2 linked regions of the Diceros bicornis minor genome follow. The protein of the gene in region 1 interacts with the protein of each later gene in a pairwise test. Links are inferred from orthologs where the notes say so. Each region holds a gene or a part of one and is shown on either strand. Other genes may lie near its edges. The genes, in order: DNAJB11 and UBR1.

Evidence for each region.
Region 2: the proteins of DNAJB11 (region 1) and UBR1 interact in a two-hybrid assay, tested with the Homo sapiens proteins (2 studies listed by BioGRID and IntAct). The link is inferred for Diceros bicornis minor from reciprocal best matches to the Homo sapiens genes DNAJB11 and UBR1.

What each region holds. Positions count from the first base shown.
Region 1 is NC_080754.1:37,416,237-37,427,828, forward strand, and holds the start of DNAJB11 (dnaJ homolog subfamily B member 11), read right to left. Parts: upstream 5,584-11,592; 5' UTR 5,450-5,583; coding exon 5,382-5,449; intron 2,731-5,381; coding exon 2,574-2,730; intron 1-2,573. Other genes in the region: TBCCD1 (TBCC domain-containing protein 1), read left to right, coding at 11,368-11,592. UniProt on the Homo sapiens protein: As a co-chaperone for HSPA5 it is required for proper folding, trafficking or degradation of proteins.
Region 2 is NC_080744.1:40,572,741-40,583,717, reverse strand, and holds the start of UBR1 (E3 ubiquitin-protein ligase UBR1), read left to right. Parts: upstream 1-6,805; 5' UTR 6,806-7,052; coding exon 7,053-7,133; intron 7,134-10,977. UniProt on the Homo sapiens protein: E3 ubiquitin-protein ligase which is a component of the N-end rule pathway. Recognizes and binds proteins bearing specific N-terminal residues that are destabilizing according to the N-end rule, leading to their ubiquitination and subsequent degradation.

The sequences.
Region 1 (11,592 bases):
TTTTGGGTCAGGATCTGAATGATGTGTAAGAAGCCACAGCAAAAATTTATTAACATTTAAGGTATATTTAGAAAGATGAAAAGAAATTGTGTGTACAAAAGAGTGAGCATTCTTAAAATGGGTTAGTCCAGAAGTGACCAGAGTACTTGACTAAAGCCATTATGATAGATGAGGTGAGAGAAAGAAATGTTTTGGTAAATATTCTAAAACAATAGCTACCTCGGGGAAGCAGAAATGGCCAGAGTTAACTTAAAAAGAAAATCAAAACACTTTTTATCATGCAATCTGGATTTCCAATATTTTCACTTTCAAGCCTACTTCTCTGGTCTTGTTTTGGCAAAGAGAAGAACCCCACATTTGGGCCTATAAGAAACACCATTTCAAAACCCCCAAACAAAGACTATTTTTAAGTCAGTTTCTTTTTGGACATCAGAGGCTTCTGTAGTAACTCCCCAAAAACTACCCTTAAAGTTATCTATTATCATTCACTTCCTCCTCACTTTTCTTCTGTCTAAAGAATGCAATTTTATTCCATGGTCTTGGAAACTATTTTATTAAAAAAAAATAAAAAAGGTTCTTAGTTGATTGGCCAATCAATCCACAGAGTCTCAACTAATCAAAATGCTAGAAGTAATCCCAGCTCAGTAGAGAAGACAGATTTGTATTCACAAAAGACTCTTCAACTTTAATGGGATTCTGATTTATGAACACTAATTTATCTAAGGACCAAACGCAATCAAGTGAATGATAAAAAGAAAAAAGAAAATTTGAGCTAGTGACTAGAAAGGTTCTTAGAGTTAAATAAACTGCAATCTCATGAATGATCTGTGTATAGCCTGCCTAGGTCATGGCTAAAGAACATGGCAGATTCTATACAGAGCATGGTAAATTCTTAACAACTTCCCTAGAAAATATTTTTGAGTACTGGTTCCTAGCAAACAATGGGAATATTCATGGGAAATACAGTGCAAAATATGGAATCCATATACCAACAAGAAACAAAATGTTACATATAATTTAACAGGGTCCACCAACCCTCTCAAGTTTATTTGTGGGCCCCTTGTGAGGAATTTTAGTCCTGTAGGATGCCTGAAGGTGTCAAGATTAGAAAGATGGACCCCATTAGTTCTAGGTTTCAGCTGTATAGGTCACTGTTTTAGTTCACTCTTTTCTTTAATCTAGGAGGCCTTGGAATCCTTCCTTTTGGGTTTTTTCCACTACTAAAATATTGTTCAGATTTGTTTCCAGCCTTCTCACCATACACGGATTTAACTTGAATTTGGAAGTTTTAGCTCCATGACTTTTGGAATTAAATTTGTTTTTCTGTGCCCTTTTAGAAAACGGGAATAAATGGTGGCTAGAGTTGATAACACTGTATTGTATTATTGAAATTTGCTAAGAAAGCAGAACTTAAATGTTCTCACCAAAAAAAGGATAAATATGTGAGGTGATGGACGTGTTAATTAACCAGATGGGCTGAATCCTTTCATAATATATATGTATATCAAATCATCATGATGTACACTGTAAATATCTTACAATTTTGTCAATTATACCTCAATAAAGCAGGAAAAAAAACAAAACCAAGATCTCTTATTCTATTTCTAAAGGAAAGGTGAATTGCAACACATACAAAAGAGCTAACTCCTAAATTAATAGATGTGAAAGATTATCAATAGCTTATTTGTAAATTTTTTTACCAAAGTGTTGACAGGTTCTGTGTATAACAGTTTTTCAAGAGTAAACAGTTTATTAAGCATTCAATAAATATTCTTTGGTGTTGTTTAAAAAAAATGGGAATAAGAATATGCCCAGCTCTACTCTATTTCACAGTGTACTAGTAAAGATTAAATGAGATGATACACATGAAGGTGTTTTGACCTCTAGATTAGAGGTTCCAAATTCAAACTATAGCTGTGTTTTGTTTGATCTGCGTGAAAAGTAATTTTTAAATTCAATTAGTTACCAAAATTTTACAATCAGGAGAATCTATATAAAAATCTGGATTTCCACTTCTCTTGAAAAATTAAATGATCTGGCAACACAGTGTTTGCATTTGTATATGGCAAAAACTGGCTAGGGTTGAATAAGAGCTACTCCCTTGAAATGGGGCAAGGAAGGTGTCAGTCTATCACAGTCCTCATCAATATCTGTTGATTCCCAAAATGGAAGTAAGAAAATCCACTGTCATGTTTTATCTTATACCTGCCCTGCATGTTATTTGTCTGGTCCATATGGGCATATGGTTTGCAATCCTCATTTAGATTTTGTTTCTCTTTCTGGCTCCAGCTCCCAAACTGACTGCCTGATGATCAATCAACTTATTAATCTATCAATCTTCCTTTCTTTCTTTCACTCACCTTTTTCAACATTATTCTCCTTAATAAAACAAATACTAATATGAAAAAGGCAGGAAATGGCATTTACTAACATGAATGTACAACATAGCACCACACAGTACTTTTACTTTTATCTACTGTCTATTTTTAAAAAGAAGAAGTGTTACTCTGTGTTACATGGTCTTTTCTGTATCCGTAGGTTTTATTCATACTTTACCCTTTTTCCTGACTCACCTCATAAGCAGCACCCAGATCCTGGAACTTCTCCTGTGCTCGTGGATCATCAGGGTTCCGGTCAGGATGAAGCTGCAGGGCTAGTTTCCTGTAGGCCTTTTTAATATCCTTTATAGAGGCACTGCGAGGCACCCCCAAGATCTTATAGAAATCTCGCCTGGGGAGGGGGTAGACAAAGAGGATACTTCATTAAAGAGTTATACATTACATTTTTAAAGCAAAGCTTTTTCCTTTACATTTAGGTTTACGTCTGAGCAAAGATGTAGGAAAATGAAGGTACACATGTAACACACATACACAAAAAAGAAAGACTAAAAAGAGAACACATCATAATTTGTAATGAGTCTTAAATATTGAAGAAATCACAAGATTTCTTCTTGTGATTTCTTCACAAGCCTCTTCAAGAGGCTATGTATTTTTTGAACAATGCTAGAATTATTCAAAACATCTACAGAATTCCTTTAGTCAAGAAAACCATTTTCTTATTTTATGGCCACATGTTCTTTTCAACCAATAACGGTATAATCAAATTAACTCTCTCCTTCTTCTCCCTATTACTGACTTCAAATGACTTTTGACTGTTTCCAAAGGTCAAATAATCTCAGAGGATGACTTTCTTTATTCAAAAAGATTATGTCACATAAATGTTCTGACTACCAGCAGCACTGTTGGAATGTTAAAGATGAAGTGACTGAAGTTAACTTCAGAGGTTAATTTAGAGGTTAAGCCAAAGCCCAAATAAGAACCTTGAAGAAAGAATTACACCCATTTGGATGTATGAGTTGTGGGGTTTTTTGCTGAGAGAAAAAATATCAATCTTGCAGTCATTGCTAGCAGTTATACGAGTTTGTCTAGGTCAAGTCTTAATTGTAGACAGCTGCTGAAGCCCGTATGCAGGAGCCTGTAAGCCTCAGCAGCTGCAAATATGCATATGGCATGAGCGTGGAGATAAGGTAGAGATCCACTGACCTCCTTGCCAGGGACTATGCTGGAACCAAATTAATTGTAAAGAGAATCTTTGCAAGAAGGGCCAATGCGAAGATAGAATAAGACTATAATAAACTTTCAGGGCAGGGACTGTTTCCAGCCCATAGAAGACACCAATAAATATTTGTTGAATGAAATGAATAAATAAGCATGCCCACAAAAATCTATTCCTTTTGCCAGAGTCACTTTAGCCACCAGAAGTTATTCTGAAAATGCCTTCTTCCAAGAAAAGGGATAGGAAAGTTGTTCACAATGGAGACGCTGATGTAGTAGTGATGGTAATTTTAAAATGCAGTGGGGAAAAAATGCATTGGGGTACTGAGAGCCAGGTGATGTGAGACAGAATATTAAAAAAATTATTTCATAAGCTCTTAGTCACACTTAGGAAAATCATTTAATCATTTCATGTATAAGTTTTTAAAGTTATCACCCAAAAGGGGTTCCACGAGGATTAATTAGGTGCTTTATGCTCCCCCTAAAAATGCGAAAACTTGATATCTCTTGTGACAAGAACTAAATAAATTGAAAGGTTCATTAAAATTAATAACAAAAGAGCTAACTGTATAAAGAATGAGGCTTACATAGAATATGCTTAATAAAAAAATGGTTAAGTAACAGCTCAGAAAAATACAAGAAAAAGATGGCTGGCATAGCTCAGCATCAACATTACAGTTTCCAAGAGACTCCTTTATGAAGGACTGAAGTTTAAAGTGACAGTATTAACAATATTTATAGAGACATTTTGTTTAAACACCTTACAGTACTTGTTGCTTTTAAATGTAAAAAGTACTAACAAAAACGTACTAAGAAAAACAAAGTATTACCTAGGAGAAGTTAATTTTTTTTAGAAATTTAAGATGTTTCACAAGAAAAAAAATAACTATAAAGTTTAAGCATATATGAACAGGGAAAAAATTTTTAAGAGAATAACAAGCACTTAAATGTTAAAGCTCTGCTAGGTAGCATCTTCTCCATTTAGAGCAACCTATAAGTTATTAGAAGCTAAGACCTTACTTCCCAACACTCTAAAATATGAGCCTTGCATATCATATCCTGTGGTCACCAGGCTTATGGGATCATGGATCTTAAAGGCTGGAAAGATCCTCGAGTTCAGGCGGTCCTACTCCCTTCAGACAGGTGGTGCATTATCACCCTCATGTTACAGATGAGAATTTAGGTGGTTCCTTCAAGGTCATATAATTCATAAATGGGGTGGGAGTGTGTAGGCTAAAATCCCAGTCTACTATCTGTTGATGAAATGCTCTTCCCGCTCATAATAGCATTCAGCTTCTCAAGAATGTACCATGGAGAGAGACAGTGAGGCACGAAGACAGTTTAGGCTCCTTATCTCAAGAAGCTGGGAAGTACAAGGGCTCTCCAAAGGGTCTGCCTTGCTCCCTCAATCCAATTTCCTTCAGTCCCAGGATGGCTTCCCTATCTGTTCTCCCCTTCCTCACTCGGCCTAGCATCATAACCCACCCACTTTAAATGACAGTCCCTCAACGGTTCGTGCAGGATCAACACTGTATCGTCCTCTTCTCTAGCTCAGCACACCCCCTCCCACCCAACACATACACGTTGTGTTTGGCACTGCATCCAACTCCCACTCCTCTGGGCAAATCTAGCTCTTCAGGGCCCGTGGATCTAAGCTCCTCTCCATCGTGTCACGCACTGCTCTCCTCTCCACCCCATTAGCCTGGCCCACATTACCCATTCCTCTGTCTCACCGCCTCACCACAGCAATGCCCTCTCCCTCCCCCAGCCTCCTCCCCAGCCAAGACTGACTCGCGGGCCCCGTGCCCACAGGTGCCTGTTCCTCACCCGGCGATCACAGCCCCGATGAGGTACAGCAGCAACAGGCAGAAGGTGCCCAGGTTCTGCGGGGCCATGATTTCTCTGTGCCGGTCCCTGTGCCGGCCCCTGTCCCACGCGCTCCTCACAGCCTCCTCCGCCGCCGCGTCGGCTCGCCAGCCCACCCCGCCCTGAGAAACCACCTCACGCCGGGGTTTCCCACTAAGGCCAGAGCGACAGCTAGCTTGCCCCCTCCTCTGCCCCTCCACTTCCCGGGAGTCCCGAGTCCCAGTGAGAGAAGCCCCCAGCAGGCGAGAGCCAATCGCTGCTCAGGACATCACACGCGGCCGGTGCCTCGCAGCCAATCAGCGCAGTACACTTCACCTTCGAGGCGGTGCGGGCGGCCAGTTAGGCTTCGGAACTGCAGCCGCAGCTCCCGGCCAATGAGAAGAGGAAACGTCAGATAGTCGCGCCGCCGCAGGAATCCGGCACCCCGGCATCCGCGAGTCGTAGAAAACTACGTAAACGGGTGGGGGGAAATGGTGCCAATAGAGGACACCCGAGGTACACGAAGTTTACCCCGCCCGCCTCCTCGGACTCTCCACCAATCACGAGGCTCCTCCTCCAGCATTAACCAATTGCGGGAGGGACGTTTTATCTCGGTTACAAGTCTCGGAATTTCATTCATAATGAGCTACGCGCTGGATGCGAAGGGGCGGAGGGACTAGGGCGAAATGGGCGGGGACAATTACTCCAGGCCAATGGTATGGCGGACGCATCGCTTGGGAGATCTTTTTTCACCTTCTCCTAACAAGCCAAGGAGAAAATTGTCTCTGTTTCACAGAGGAGAGGCCTGGTACCTCAGAGAGAAGAGGCCGTGGAGGCAGAGAGACTTAGCTTCGGATTCAGCTCCCACCACTTCTTAGCGGTGAGAACACCTCCGTCCCTCGCCTCCCACTTTAGCCAAGCTTCTTTATTTACGAACCTGAGGCAAAACATTTACTGGCAGTGGTGTGAAATTTTAGGGGGAGAAAAATTTGTAAACCGTCTGGCACACTGTAAGCACGCAACGAATAATAACTTATCACAGTTACGAGAACTCTTTGATTCCCCCCACCTACTTTTGCTTATCTCAGTGAACGCACTACCTAGTTGTTAACGACAAAATTCTAGGTGTCTTCCTTGATTCCTCTCCTGCATCCCCTATCCAGATCTTTGCTCTTAAACTATATCCTGAATCTGCCCGCTACTGTACATCTCGACTACCTCTCTGGGCCAAGTCACATCATCTCTTACCTGGCAAGGGCCTCCTAACTGGTCTCCCTGCCTCCACTCTTAATATCTCTTGTTCATTCCTGCCCCCCACCCCATGATTTTTTTTACAAACATGTCAGATCGTGTCATTCCCCTGCTTCAGACTCGAATGGCTTTTCAGTGCACTTAGAATAAAATCCCAACTTTTTATGCTAGTTTATAAAACCTTATATGTCTCAATAAAGCTGGAAGAAAATTTTTTAAAAACCTTATATGATCTGTACCCTCATCTAGTATACTCCTTACCATGTTCCAGCAAAACTGGTTTCCTTTCTCTTTTTTGAATACACCAAACTCATTCCTGCCAATGGCGTTTGTTCTAGCTGTTCTCTCTGCCTGAAACACTCTTCCCTTAGATCCTAACATAAGTGACTCCTTTTTAAACTCAGATATCAGCTTAAATGTCACTTCAGAGAAGACCAACCAATCAAAATTAGCCCCTGCTGAGTCCTTTTTTTTTTTTACTTTTGCTGAAGAAGAGTCCCTCTGAGCTAACATCCGCTGCCAATCTTCCTCATCTTTTGTATGTGAGCCGCCACCGCTGCATGGCCACTGTCAGACAAGTGGTGTAAGTCTGAGCCCGCGAACCAAACTCGGGCCACCAAAGCAGAGCACGCGGGACTTAACCAATAGGCCACCAGGGCTGGCCTGAGTCCTTATTCTTACACCACCCTATTTTATCTTATTGTTTCTACCCCTGACCCCCACACTCACATACACTGGAATGCCATTTTCATGAGACCATGAATCTGAACTGTTCTCTTCACATCTGTGTAGAACCGAACCTTAGAACAGAGACTGCCACCGAGTAAAAAGTTGCTTTGACTGTGATCTTCATATGCTGGCTTCTTATTCTTCAGGCTTCAGCTCAAATTTGGCACTGATCCCCTTACCCCCAAACTTCATAGCATTTATTAATATCTGAAATTATCCTAATTTATTTCCTTAATATGTATTATCTATTCTCCCTATTAAAATATACACTCCAAGAAAGCAAGGACCTTATCTGTTTTGTTCACACTGTAATCCTAGTGCTTAGCACTGTGCCAGACACACAGTGGTGCTCAGTAAATACTTGTTGCAGAAAACAAAGGCATAGAGAGATGACAGAATCTGTTGAAGGTCACTGAGCTACTTAGTCGTGCAGCTTGGATCCTAACCCAGATCTGTTTGAATCCAAAGCCCATGCTCTTCACATAGTGACTCATGCAGAGGTAAGAGAAACACAGCTTACTGCTTTCAGGAAGTGCCTATTAGGGGAGAGAGGCCACGTAAAGGAAGAACTAAACTTCGCTTGATGGCCTTATTTACCTTTGTATCTCCCACATCTAGAGAGTCCATAAACGAACTAAGAAAGCAAGAAATGGCCAAAAATCATGAAATGAAGGTTTAGAGGAAGGAGTGAGGTCTTCTGCTGGGTGGAATGCAAACAAGCTTCATGAAGGTGGTAACATGGCGAGAAAGCTAACAGAATTAAGGAGCTAACCCTGGGGGCTCTCGCCGGCCTGGATTTGTATCTTGGCTCCTCTCTTGCTGTGTGCCCTTAGGGGTGTGTTACTTTCACCTCTCTACGACCTAGTTTCCTCATCAGGAAAACAAATGTACTTAACTTAAAGGGCTCGTGGGAAGACTGAGATAATACAAAGGGGTTTTACACAGTGTCCAGCCCATAGTAAGCTCTCTATAAATGTAAGCTGTCATTATCATTATTATTGCTGATCAAAGTGTGCCGACCCTACCAGCACCTATTGGCTACCACAGTTCCGTGGAGCAACAGAAAACTTCCTACTCCCCTGAGTTGAAAGGCGCGACACCAGAAAGCGGTGGGGTCTGGCTCCAGGTCCCAGCATCTCTTGGCCTTAGCCAAAGTTTCCGCAGACCGCGGGGGAAGCAGTCGGCCGCTCTAGCAGCGTAGTCCTCCGGGTCTCGGTGATGCGAGGCCGCGCGCTTGCGCGGTGGCTGAGGGGCGGGCCAGGCGAGCAGGGCGCGGCGGCGCGCGGAGGGTCGGCGGAGCGGCGCCTGCCTTCTCAGGTAACTCGCGCGGGCTGGCGCCTGGGAGGGAGAGGTAGGCCCGTTACGCTTCAGGCTCGGGCTGGGGAGGCTGCCTTCGTGCTCATCAGGTCTCGGGTCCGCCAAGCACCCTGACACGCGGGGCTTCTCTGTTCCCGAAGTCCGGTCGGGGCGCTTTGGCGGCCCTCGCCGCGCCCGCTCCCGGACCGCGCCCGCCCCTGGGACCGCGTCCTACCCCGGACAGCGTCCTACCCCGGACAGCGTCCGAGGTGGCGGAGAAGCCTCAGGAGGACCGCCTTGATCCTCACGCCGATCTCCCCGCCCGAAAAACCCTGACCCCAGCGCACCCCGGGGAAGCTTTTGAAGAGGGAAAGAGCCCCGGTTTATGTGTTTACGAATGTAGCCCTCTCGAATCTCGGAGGTAGAATAGACGGTTCATCCCCGGGAGCTGGCTTTTGATGGCACACTTTAGGGACAAGAGCTCAGGCCTCACGCAGCAGCCTATTTCCATTTGGGGGCGAACCAGGATCTTCCTCACGTCACTTCCATCGTCTGGTTTTACTCGGAGCGACGCTAAGCCATTCCCATGTTTAAAGACAGCTGCCATTTACCCTCTCACACCCTTCTTTTGTGTTCCTGCTCCCGTGTTCCTTCACCTGGCCCTTATATGGCCTCACGTCTAAGGCCACTCATTCTGGTAATCCTCTCCTGGATCCCCGCCCATTTTTCAGAGATTCTCCCAAAACTGGGTTCTTAAAGTACATTTGTAAATAACACAGTTCTCAGATCAGACAGACTTGAATTCTAATCCAGGGCTGTGCCAACATAAGTGTGTGACTTTGGGTAAGTCCCTTCTCCAAGCCTCAGTTTTCTCATCTGAAAATGGGGATAACTGTGTGTATCTCCAAGCGGTTGTGAGGACGAGAGGAGGTGAAGAACACAAAATATTTAGCATGCTTCCTGGCACATAGTAAGCACTGAATTGATATCAACTATTTTTTGAACAGATAATTCCCCAAAGAAGGACGATTTTTTTAGAATCAAATGCAAAATATAATAATAGCAATAAAACATTTTTCATCACTCATGTAAGGATGTTTTTTTTTTTTTCTGAGGAAGATTGGCCCTGAGCTAACATCCAGTGCCAGTCTTCCTCTTTTTGCTGAGGAAGATTTAGCTCTGAGCTAACATCTGTGCCCATCTTCCTCTGTTTTGTATATGGGATGTAGCCACAGTGTGGCTTGATGAGCAGTTTGTAGGTCTGGGCCAGGGATCCAAACCTGGGGGTCTGAACCTGCAAAACCCCAGGCCACTGAAGCAAAGCACGGGAACTTAACCACTAAGCCGCTGGGGCAGCCCCTGAATATGGTTTTTTAAGTGCTGTTACTTAATGCTGAGGAGTGTTCAATGAAGAGGGTACCTTGGTCAAATGTTGGTACAATTTGATAGTCATTTTGGAAAGCAGTAGAAATACGTGTCAGGAGCTTCAGAAAGGTCAATTACTTCATTTCACAAATGCACATCTGAAAATTTTCTCTGGAAAATAATCATAATGCAGAAAATATGTAGAAAGATGGTAATTTAGCATTTTTTATAATAATGAAAACATTTAAACTTTTTATAGTGGAAAATTTTAACATACACAAAAGTAGAGTAGGTAAATGAACCCTCATGTGCTCATCATCCAGCTTCAACAATGATCAATATTTTGCCTATCTTATTTTTGTGAAAAATTTTAAAACTACTAAATATCTGAAAATAGGAAAACAGTTGAGTAAACTGAGGTACATTTGTTTAGAGTGCTATGAAGCTTTTAAAATAATACAGATTGTATATATGGTATTATCGCAACTATGAAAATTCAAAAACCAACATCCAGTCTGTGTAGAAAAAAAGACAAGAAGGAAGTACAATAAAATATTAACTAATTTCCCTTTGATGGTGGGACTGTGGATGATTTGCTTCCCTTCTGTTTTTAGATATTTTATAAATATTCCATAAAATAGTGTATTGTTGTTATAACGAAGAAACAATAAAAAAAATCTAAAAATACCGCATCTGAACGAAGCGCAATAAAATATGCCAGAGCAGGTTCACTGTTACAGAGAATAAAGATTCTTTAACTTCATCTGTTTTTGCAGCCTACATTTACACGAGCATTCTTGTCTGCCACCTCCTGTTAGCGTTTCATATTGAGCTTATATGGTCGGCTAACAAATCTTTAACCAATTGTCCTCTATGTGTAAGTGATTTGACTCTGAAAATTTTATTCCCCTTATTTTGACTAGTGTTCGCCTAAGAGTAGAGCAAAATTTTCTATGATAGGCTGACCCTTTTCCCCATTTCTTCTTTTCTTCTTGTCCTGAGGAGAGATCCAACTTATACCTCTTGCATTTACACACTCTTTCTAAAGCAATCACTTGGAACAATTCAAGTAGGATAATTTTGTTTTATCACAAAATTTTTCTTGCTCAAATAGATTATAATGAGATCTGACCAAAAATCTATTCTGCTCTTGGTTGATGAACTAGATCTGCTTTTTAAACTGACATAGTACATTTAAAAACGTTAAAGGAGGGGTCATGTTACCAGAAAATGTACAAATGAGTTTTGTTTGGAATCAGTTTGTGAAGAAACTTTGTTTCCTAGGTATGCAAAGAAACCTTTTCACACAGATGTCCTTAGAGATAACATGGATCAGTCCGGAGTTCTCCTCTGGGTGAAAGCAGAACCTTTTATAGTGGGTGCCTTGCAGGTCCCCCCTCCATCCAAGTTCAGTCTTCACTATCTCAGGAAGATATCTACCTATGTGCGAACCAGGGCCACAGAGAGAGCTTACCCACGCCTGTACTGGTCTACATGGAGGCACATTGCATGTGGGAAGCTGCAGTTGGCTAAGGATCTGGCGTGGCTTTAC
Region 2 (10,977 bases), on another chromosome or scaffold:
CAGATGGCTTCTCTGGAGAATTTTACCAAACATTCAAAGAAGACTTAATACTTATCCTTCTCAAACTATTCCAAAAAATAGAGGAAGATGGAACACTTCCCAACACATTCTACAAGGCCAACATCACCCTGATACCAAAGCCAGGCAAAGACAACACTAAGAAGGAAAACTACAGACCAATATTGCTGATGAACATAGATGCAAAAATCCTCAATAAAATATTGGCAAACTGAATACAGCAATGCATTAAAAAGATCATATACCATGATCAAGTGGGATTTATACCAGGGACTCAGAGATGGTTCAACATCCACAAATCAATCAATGTGATACACCACATTAACAAAACGAGGAATAAAAACCATATGACCACCTCAATAGATGCAGAGAAGGCTTTTGACAAGATCCAACATCCATTTATGATAAAAACTCTCAACAAAATGGGTATAGAAGGAAAGTACCTTAACATAATAAAGGCCATATACAACAAACCCACAGCCATCATCATACTCAATGGGGAAAAACTGAAAGCCATCCCTCTGAAAACAGGGACAAGGCAAGTGTGCCCACTCTTGCCACTCTTTTTTTTTTTTTTTTGCTAAATGATTTTTTTAATAATTTTATTTATTTATTTTTCACCCAAAGCCCCAGTAGACAGTAGTATGTCATAGCTGCACATCCTTCTAGTTGCTGTATGTGGGACACGGCCTCAGCATGGCCAGAGAAGTGGTGCGTTGGTGCACACCCAGGATCCAAACCCGGGCTGCCAGCAGCGGAGGGCGCCCATTTAACCGCTAAGCCATGGGGCCGGCCCTTGCCACTCTTATTCAACACAGTACTGGAGGTTCTGGCCAGAGCAATTAGGCAAGAAAAAGGAATAAAAGGAATCCAAATAGGCAACGAAGAAGTGAAACCGTCGCTGTTTGCAGATGACATGATCTTATATATAGAAAACCCTAAAGAACCATTAGAAAACTATTAGAAATAATCAACAACTACAGCCAAGTGGCAGGGTACAAAATCAACTTACAGAAATCAGTTGCATTTCTATATACCAACAACGAACTGACAGAAAGAGAACTCAAGAAGACAATCCTATTTACAACTGCAACAAAAAGAATAAAATATCTAGGAATAAATTTAACCAAGGAAGTGAAAGACCTATACCATGAAAACTATAAGACACTATTGAGCGAAATCAATGATGACATAAAGAAATGGAAAAATATTCCTTGCACTTGGATTGGAAGAATAAATATAGTTAAAATGTCCATACTACCTAAAGCAATCTACAGATTCAATGCAATCCCAATCAGAATCCCAAGGACATTCTTCACAGAAATAGAACAAAGAATACTAACATTCATATGGGGCAACAAAAGACCCCGTATAGCTAAAGCAATCCTGAAAAAGAACAAGGCTGGAGGCATCACAATCCCTGACTTCAAAACATACTACAAAGCGATAGTAATGAAAACAGCATGGTACTGGTACAAAAACAGACACACAGATCAATGGAACAGAATTGAAAGTCCAGAAATAAAACCTCATATCTATGGGCAGCTAATCTTTGACAAAGGAACTAAGGACATACAGCGGAGAAAGGAAAGTCTCTTCAATAAATGGTGCTGGGAAAATGGACAGCCACTTGCAAAAGAATGAAAGTAGAACACCTTCTTTCGCCATACACAAAAATTAACTCAAAATGGATCAAAGACCTGAAGGTGAGACCTGAAACTATAAAACTCCTGGAGGAGAATATAGGTAGTACACTACTCGCCATCAGCCATAAAGGGATCTTCTTGAATTCCATGTCTACTCAGACAAGGGAAACAAAAGAAAAAATAAACAAGTAGGACTTCATCAGATTAAAGAGCTTCTACAAGGCAAGTGAAACCAGGATGAAAATGAATAGGGAACCCACCAGCTGGGAAAAAATATTTGCAAACCGTATATCTGACAAGGGATTAATCTCCATAATATATAAAGAACTCACACAACTGAATAACAAAAAAACAAACAACTCAATCAAAAAATGGGCAGAGGAAATGAACAGACACTTCTCCAAAGAAGATATACAGATAGCCAATAGGCATATGAAAAGATGCTCAACATCACTAGTCATCAGGGAAATGCAAATCAAAACCACACTAAGATATCACCTTACACCCATTAGAATGGCTATAATCACCAAGACAAAAAGCAACAAATGCTGGAGAGGCTGTGGAGAAATGGGAACCCTAATCCACTGCTGGTGAGAGTGCAAACTGGTGCAGCCTCTATGGAAAACAGTATGAAGATTCCTCAAAAAATTAAAAACAGAAATACCTTATGATCCAGCTATCCCACTACTGGGTATCTACCCAACGAACCTGAAACCAACAATCCAAAGAGGCTTATGCACCTCTATGTTCATTGCAGCATTATTCACTATAGCCAAGACATGGAGGCAACCCAAGTGTCCCTCAACTGATGAATGGATAAAGAAGATGTGGTATATATATATACCATGGAATACTACTCAGCCATAAAGAAAGACAAAATTGTCCCATTTGCAACAACATGGATGGACCTGGAGAGTATTATGTTAAGTGAAATAAGCCAGAAAGAGAAAGACAAACAGTGCATGATTGCACTCATATGTGGAAGATAAACCAACACATGCACAGATAGAACTATTTGGTGGTTACCAGGGGGTGGGGGGTGGGCACAAGGGGTGGAGGGATGCACTTATAGGAGGACTGATAAACAATAATGTACAACAAAAATTTCACAAAAAAAAAAACATTTTACACAAGGAATAAATAGTTATTAAGAAAATACAGTTAGGTAGAAAGAAGAAAATAAAAATTTCCACAATTATGCAATCCTGGGATACCCAAGAGTAACACTTTGGTCATTAGTATTTTTCATTAAATATCTAGGTGCATTTTTTGTCTTACAAAAATAGATTCATAGTGTTTTAGTAACTTGCTTTTTCCAACCGATAATATATAGTGAATATCTTACCAAGTCAATAAGAATGCTTTTACAACAATGGCTTTCAAGTTATATGGTCTCAGGATCTTTTCATACTCTTAAAAGTTGGGGATCTCAAAGATATTCCTTTTATGTAGATTATATCTACTGATATTCACTGTATTAGAAAATAAAACTGAGAAAATTTTAAAATATCTATCAATTTGTTTAAAATAAGAATTATCAACTCAATACATGTTAACATAAATAACATTTTTAAATAAAAAATAAGTTTTCCAAACCAAAAATGTATTGAAAAGTGTGGCAATGTTTTGCATTTTTGCAAATCTCTTTAAAAGAAGACAGCTCGGTTCTCACATCTGCTTCTGCACTCAATCTATTGTGATATGTTGTTTTGGTTGAAGTATATGAAGAAAATCTGGCTTCACACAGATACATAGTTGGAATAGGGAGGAATATTTCAATAGTGTTTTCAGATAACTGTGGATATTCTTCTTTGAAACTACACCAGAGCTGGGCAAATAGTAAAATCTTAAAGATCAACTCAACGTGGAATCTGAAATCATATCAATGAAATTTTTGTACTCCATAACATTAAATTCTATTGGTCTATTCAGCAACATGAATGGATCTTTTACCTATGCTTGATCTAGTAACATCCTGCATTTGTCATTTGGAAAATATTGGTTCAGTGAGTTAAACAGATCTTCCAAATGTCAATACATTTCAATATACAATATCCAAAAAATCATACATGTTAATATCATCACCAGTTTCTTTGGGACTTTGTCAAACTCACAGTGCCAGAGACAAGTTCTCCACAAAATGTTTATTTGAAAGCTTGATTTCTATCATAGAGAACAAAATCTGTTAGTTGTTTTTCTTGAAGAGAAAGGCTCACTTGTTCATATCTGAGAAAATGCCTGTCAAATATCTAAGTCTGAAAACCCTAGGGAATCTGTCAGTTGCTCTTTTAAGTAAATATGGTTTTCCATGAAAAAAAGTGGCCAGTTCAGGTAGCAAATCAATCACAGAAGTGCTTCTCAAGTCAACCATCATACTTTTTTACACAGCAGGAAAGCTTTATGTGTGCTTCCTCCTTCATCACATACAGAATATTTAAAAGACTCATGAGTGGGCCAGCCCCATGGCTTAGCAGTTAAGTGCGCGCGCTCTGCTACTGGCAGCCCGGGTTCGGATCCCGGGCACGCACGAACGCACCGCTTCTTCAGCCATGCTGAGGAGGTGTCCCACCTACAGCAACTAGAAGGATGTGCAACTATGACATACAACTATCTACTGGGGCTTTGGGGAGAAAAAGGGGGAAAAAAAAAAGGAGGATTGGCAATAGATGTTAGCTCAGAGCCAGTCTTCCTCACCAAAAAAAAAAAAAAAGAGGAGGATTGGCATGGATGTTAGCTCAGGGCTGATCTTCCTCACACACACACAAAAAAGACTCATGAGTTGAGATTTAATAAAATTAATAATTTTTACTGCTTCATCACAGACATTGTTAAGAGAAACACACTTTTTTTTTTTAACTGCAAGAGCATGGTGGTGAAGAAATTACTAATTCCTAGTTTGTAAGTCACTTTGCTGACTAGTTGAGTTTGATGCCACTAGCTTTATTTTGTGGTAAGGGGCCAGCAGTTTCACCTACTATTGCTTCTGCACTATAAGTACAAATACCAACATGGTTTTAAAAAAAGGCACATAACTTCTTTGTTATTACTGTACTATAAAAAGTTTTTACTTCACAGAATTCGAGTCTTGAGAACTCTTAGAGGGTCTGTGGACCACAATTTGAGAATCAATGTTCTACAACATTTTTAATGGCTGCAGGGTATTACATTGCATGGGTGACTACAGTTAATTTAGCCGATATCCTTTCTTGTTGGACTTTTGAGTTGTTTCTAATTTTTCTCCATTTCTAGTAATGATGTAGTTAAAATTTCACTTGCATCCTGAATTATTTCTCTAGGACACAGTCTTAAAAATGGAATTGCTGAGCCAAAGAGTATGCATTTAAAAAAAAATGCCTTTTGGGGGCCGGCCTGGTGATGTATTGGTTAAGCTCACATGCTCTGCTTAGGTGGCCCAGGGTTCACAGGTTCGAATCCTGGGCTCGGCCAACGTACCACTCATCAAGCCATGCTGTGGTGGTGTCCCACATACAAAGTAGAGGAAGATGGGGAGAGATGTTAGTTCAGAGCAAATCTTCCTCAGCAAAGAGAGGGAGATTGGCAACAGATGTTAGCTCAGGGCCAATCTTCCTCACTGAAAAAAAAAAAAAAGGCTTCTGAATATTACCACATTGTCTTCTTGTGGGTTTACCAATTTACATAACCACACATGAGTATCCTTCCAGCTTACCAATAATGGTTATCATTTTTTTTTTTAAAGCATTTTTTTTTTCTGGGAAAGATTTGCCATGAGCTAACATCTGTTGCTAATCTTCCTCTTTTTTTCTTTTTCTCCTCCTTAAAGCCCCAGTAGTTATATATTCTAGTTGTAAGTCCTTCCAGTTCTTCTATATGAGCGACTGCCACAGCACCGCTACTGAAAAGACAAGTGGTGTGGTTCCTTGCAGGAACCGAACCCAGGCTGCTGAAGGGCAGCCTGCCAAACTTGAATCACTAGGCCATCAGGGCTGGCTCAACAATGGTTACCTTTAAGAAAAAAAAAAAACTTACCAAATTTTTAGGCAATATATAGAATCCCATTTCTGCTTAATTTGCATTTATTTGCCTACTAGATAGGTTTTTAAATACATTTATAAAAATCGGTAAGTTGCATATTTATGTATTTTGCCCTTTTTCCTATTGGAATAGTCTCATTTGGGGTTTTATCCTTTAGTCTGTCATGAATGTTGTAGACATTTCTTCCCAGTTTTTGTTTACTTTTTAACTTTGTGTAGTTTATTTTATATGTAAGTTATTAATTTTGATAAAATTACTTATCAGTCTTTTTATATTTTCTGCTTTTGGTGTCATGCTTTAAAAAGCCTTCTCCATCCCAATATTAAAGAAATATTTACTTATTTGCTTTCTTTTTTAGTAGTTAACTCATCAATTCATTGGGAATTATTCTGATATATGATTTGAGATGAAGATCTGACTTAATCTTTTCCCAAACAGTTTATTTCTTTCCAGAGTGTTATGAGCTTTATTACTATTTTTCCCTTTGTTAAAAAAAATATTTTAACATCATTTGTTTTGTAAACAATTTAAAACAATATAAATGAAGCTAACGTAGCTCTTGACCACCTTCCTCCTCTCTTGGTCCTCAGAGCTAACTATTATTAGTTTGTTCTCTTCCCTTTCAGGCTGTTTCCTTCATATTTACATGTAGGTAAGCACAAATATATAGTTTGTGGCAACTTGGTTGTTTTTCCCCCCTCAATTAATTTATCTTTATCTTTTTACATAAATCTATCTTGTTTTTTTTAAAGAGCTGCATCGTGTCCCGTAATGCAAATGTACCACATTTATTCTGTCTTCCCTCTACCGAAGAACGACTAGAAGGTTTCCAATTTTTCATTTCTTCAGCACCTCCCCCCAAAACGCTGGGGCTCAAGCTTTCTTGTGGCAGGTACAAGTGGCCACAGACTACATTCCTAAAGATGGAAGAGCTTTGAGTACTTTTTCATTTTGCGGGCTCTGGGGAGCCACTGCAGGTACGTCGAGAGACAAAACAAACCCAGACCAACAACCGGGCCAGGAGACCCAGTACAGGTCCTTGGCCTCTCACAATTTTCTTCCTTTCACAATGGACGCTGAATTTGTTTTTTACCTCGCAGACGCAACGGTTCCCAGGACCGAAACCGAATTTACAGCCACTCACCCACCAAGCACTATGATTAAGAAATTACGGGAAGGAAAACCTCCAGCCGTACACGCCACGCCGTGATGCTTGCTTCCGGGAAGCGGAACGGAAGCCGCTCTTCGATTCTGCGTCAAACTCGACTTCAGGGGCCGTCGTAAAAGTGTCGCCCCTCGTCTCTCGAACCGGTCACAGGTTTCCGCTTGTCTCCGGCCGGGGGTCTGGAACTACGGGCGTCAGTTTCCCTCAAGATGGCGGAGAAGGAGGCGGTGGGTAGGGAGAGAATGGAAGTCAGCACGGAGTTGCCCCAGAACCCTCAGCGACTGGCGTCTGTAAGTCTTTGTGGGCAAGTTCCTCCCATCCTCCCCAAGTCCGTCCCTACCGCGCTCAGGAAGATGTGGGACTTCACCCCTTATGGAGGCTCTGGGGAGGGGAAGTCGTATGGATTGATCTGGAAGGAAGCCGCTTAATAAAAAGTTAATCATCACCCACACTCCTGCAGGCCAAGTCTACGGAAGATAATGACTTTGCCATTTATTAGTCTTGACGAGCTCAAGCGTGTCTCTATCCTGAAGTAGAAAGAACTGCTGATGTTATTAGAGGGTCTGGTGTGGGGGCTGAGGCGGGGTTACAGGAAGAGCCATTTTTCCTATAGACGCAGTGCTAACCTTTCTTGGTGGTAGGAATCCAGGACGCAGCACCTAGTGTTGTATTGCATAGCTGGCTGGGTGGAGCCTGATAGTGGCAGGAAATGCTGCCACTGTCAACTCATGTCAAGATATGGGGTGTAGAAATTGTAGTCCTTCATTCTAACGTCTTGAGAACCCCAGGCCTAATCCTCAGTGGAAAAACCTGTCATCTGTCGCTGCTATTTAAAGGTGAAGAAGAGACTTCCAGACATTTCAAATCAGCAATACCTTTAATTAATTTCGGAATGTATACTTTGCCCTTATATTTTGAAAGAAGGGGAGGGCAGAGATAGTGAGCAAATTTGAATCAATAGTCTGGCTACAGGGAGAAAGCTGACTGAGGAGTAAGGGGTAATATTAGGGAACGCTCTGGATGTCCCCAGGCATCTAGTGAGGAGATATATAGAAAATATTCAAATGTTGATCACTGCATGATGTTGAGTTTATCAGTTTGTCTTTGTTGCTGCATATAGAAAAGTGTGGGATGTACACCTCTTCCTGAAGTTTCTCTGGTTTGTAGTTTTAATAAAAGCATTCTTGAAGTATTTTAACCCTGCAGACACTTGAGCATTGTTTTATGAGAGAACAGAGTGAGCTCCAGAAATAAGAGACCGGCTGGGAGATAAAAAACAGGTAGGGAGGGAGTTGAAATAAAGGTTTGGCCACCAACTAGGGCAGTGCTTGCAACCATCCTCTACCCCAAAAAACAGTTCAACCTCTTCACCTGGTATTGAAGAAGGAAGCATCTATTTGAGATGATAAGAAATGAGAAGACAGGGAAAGTTTAGAAGCAACTAAAACATCTGGTCTTAATGATAGCTTGTGCTTTGTACATCTTAGAAGGAGTGGAGAAACTAGGTGCTGTGGTCAGATGTGTTGCTGTAATTTTGTATTGCCAAAGGTAACTAGTGCTGATTTAAAGCTTTGATATATTAATTCCTTCCAGGTGGTACAGTAAAACCTTATCAATCTGGACTTCACTTATTTGGAATTGGAGATAATGGTACAGGAATAAAGCTAGAATTAGGAGGCAAACTCTTTACTTCAAGAAATATTAGATTTCTTTAGATAAGGCTTTGAATTTTGCAAAGTAGTAGGTTGATTTCAGAAGTGTAATAGCCTCAGGGAACTCACAGTCTAGTGACAGATAAGACAAGTGCTCAAAGAATTGTAATACAAGATACGGTGGTGGTAAGTGGATGAAGACTTGTGACTGTTAAGCCTCATGATCACTTTTTTGGCTTAGATCTATCTACTTGAGGACTCCAGATATCTTCCTACTTTCCTTTTCTTTTTAAAGCTACCATCTTCAATTTTATCCTGACAGTGGACTAGGATACTGACTTTCCAGTTTACTTCTTTGCTGTTAAGCAAAACAAGTTCAGAGATTCTTTAACATTTGAATGATTTGTATTCTAAATCACCATTCGGAGACAGGGAAAACAAAAATAATAAATATGGGACAGTTACAGAGGTTTAAGAAATCTTACCAGCTTTATTAGAATCTTGTTCCTGGTTATAGTTTCTGTTATTCTTAAATCAAACTTCCTTCTTAGACCCCACGTCATTTTTCTGTCATATTGCTATCAACAAGCATGAAGGCTCTCAAATTCCTAACATCACCTAACATGCAATTAGTGTGAAATAATAGGTATGAATTATCGGACATTTATAAAAGCCATTGCTTAAGAATCGTTAGAGAAGTTGATTCTGTAGGTCTGGGGTGGGGTCCAAGAATTTGCGTTTTCACAAGCATGGCCTGCTGATTCTGAAATCCTGGTCTGTGGGCCACATTTTGAGTAAGACTTAGCTAGACATTTGGAAGTTCTCAATATAGAATTGACAGTCGAGGTTGTGGGAATGGATAAGATCTTTGAGGAGGAGAGATAGAGAGAGAAAAAGAGAGACAGTGTGTGTGTGTGTACATGTACGCAGAGAGAGAGAGACAGACACACATGCACAGAGGGAGGGAGGGAGAGGGAGAGAGGAAGAAGGAGGAGAGACTGGAATGATTGAATTTCAGGGGTAGAAGATGGAGGAAGAGCCAGGGAAGGACCTAGAAAGGGAGCAGCCAAGCAGGTAGGAGGTGAGAGTAGTGCAGTGTCATAGGGTGTAGTTTCTACAAGAAAGTGGTTTATTGGATTCAGGAAGATGAGGACTGAGAAAACAATATTTTTTTTAATTTTTTGAGGAAGATTGGCCCTGTGCTAATATTTGTTGCCAATCTTCTTTTTTTTCTTTTTTCTCCCCAAAGCCCCAGTACATAGTTGGGATCATAGTTGTAGAGTTGTGGGTCTTTTATGTGGGACTCCGCCTCAGCATGGCTTGATGAGTGGGGAGTAGGTCCGTGCCCAGGATCCGAAGTGGTGAACCCTGGGCCACCAAAGCGGAACGCGGGAACCCAACCACTTCGCCACCAGGCTGGCCTCTGTGAGAAAAATTTTAACTCAGAGAGTATGTGGGATGGTCTGACAGAACGTCTGCCTTCTGTCTTCTTTGACTGGATTTTCTTTCATAGGTCCATCTCAGAAGATGTCTCCTGGCAGGGTACTAAGCTGTCTTCTTTTCCCTGTCTATGCCCTCTGTCTCTGTGATTTCATCCAGTTCTGTGGCTTTAAATATCATCTGTATGCGTTCAGTTCCCAAATTTATATCTCTAAGTCATCTCACTTCTGAGCTCCAGAATCACAAATCCAAATGCCTACTTGACGTATCTACTTGGATGTCTGATAAGTGTTTCAAACACAGGGAGCAATTAGGAAGCTGCTGCAGTAACCCAAGTTATAGTTGATGGTGGCTTGTACTAGAGAGCTGTCACTAGAGATGAAGAGAAGTGGATGGATTTGAGAGAGATTTTGGAAGTATTGTAGAAGTAAAAAGATTTGCTTATGGATTAGGCATGAGGGAAAAGGGAGGAAACAGATGACATCTGGGTCCGCAGTTTTTGGCTTAGGCATTCATGGCTGTGGTTGTGCCATATACTGAGAGGAAGGACCGGGTTTGGGGAGAGGAAAGGAAGGGGGCAGATCAAGAGTTTTGTTATCCCTGTCTCAGTAGATGACACTTCTATAATAGCTCTTGAATAGAAACAACTCTCTCTGTTTCCACTCCACCTCTCTAGTCCAAGCCATCATCTGTTGCCTAGGCAATTGCATTGCCTCTTAATTGGTCTCTTTGCTTCCATTTTTGCCCTCTTCCAGTCCATTCTCTACAGAGCAACCAGAGTAGTAATCTTTTTAAGACTAAATCAGATCATGTCAGTCTCCTGCCTAAATCCTTCAGTGGCTTCCCATTGTACTTGGAATAAAATCTAAACTCATTACAAGTCCTTCAAGATTCTGCCTGATCCAGCCCCTACATCTCCCCTCATTTCTTGTTACTTTCTCCTCATTCACTTTTAGCCACCCTGGGCTTGTTAGTTTCTAAAACAAGCCCAAGCTCTATCTTGCTTCAGGCCCTGCACCTTAGCTTGCTGTTCTTTTTTCCT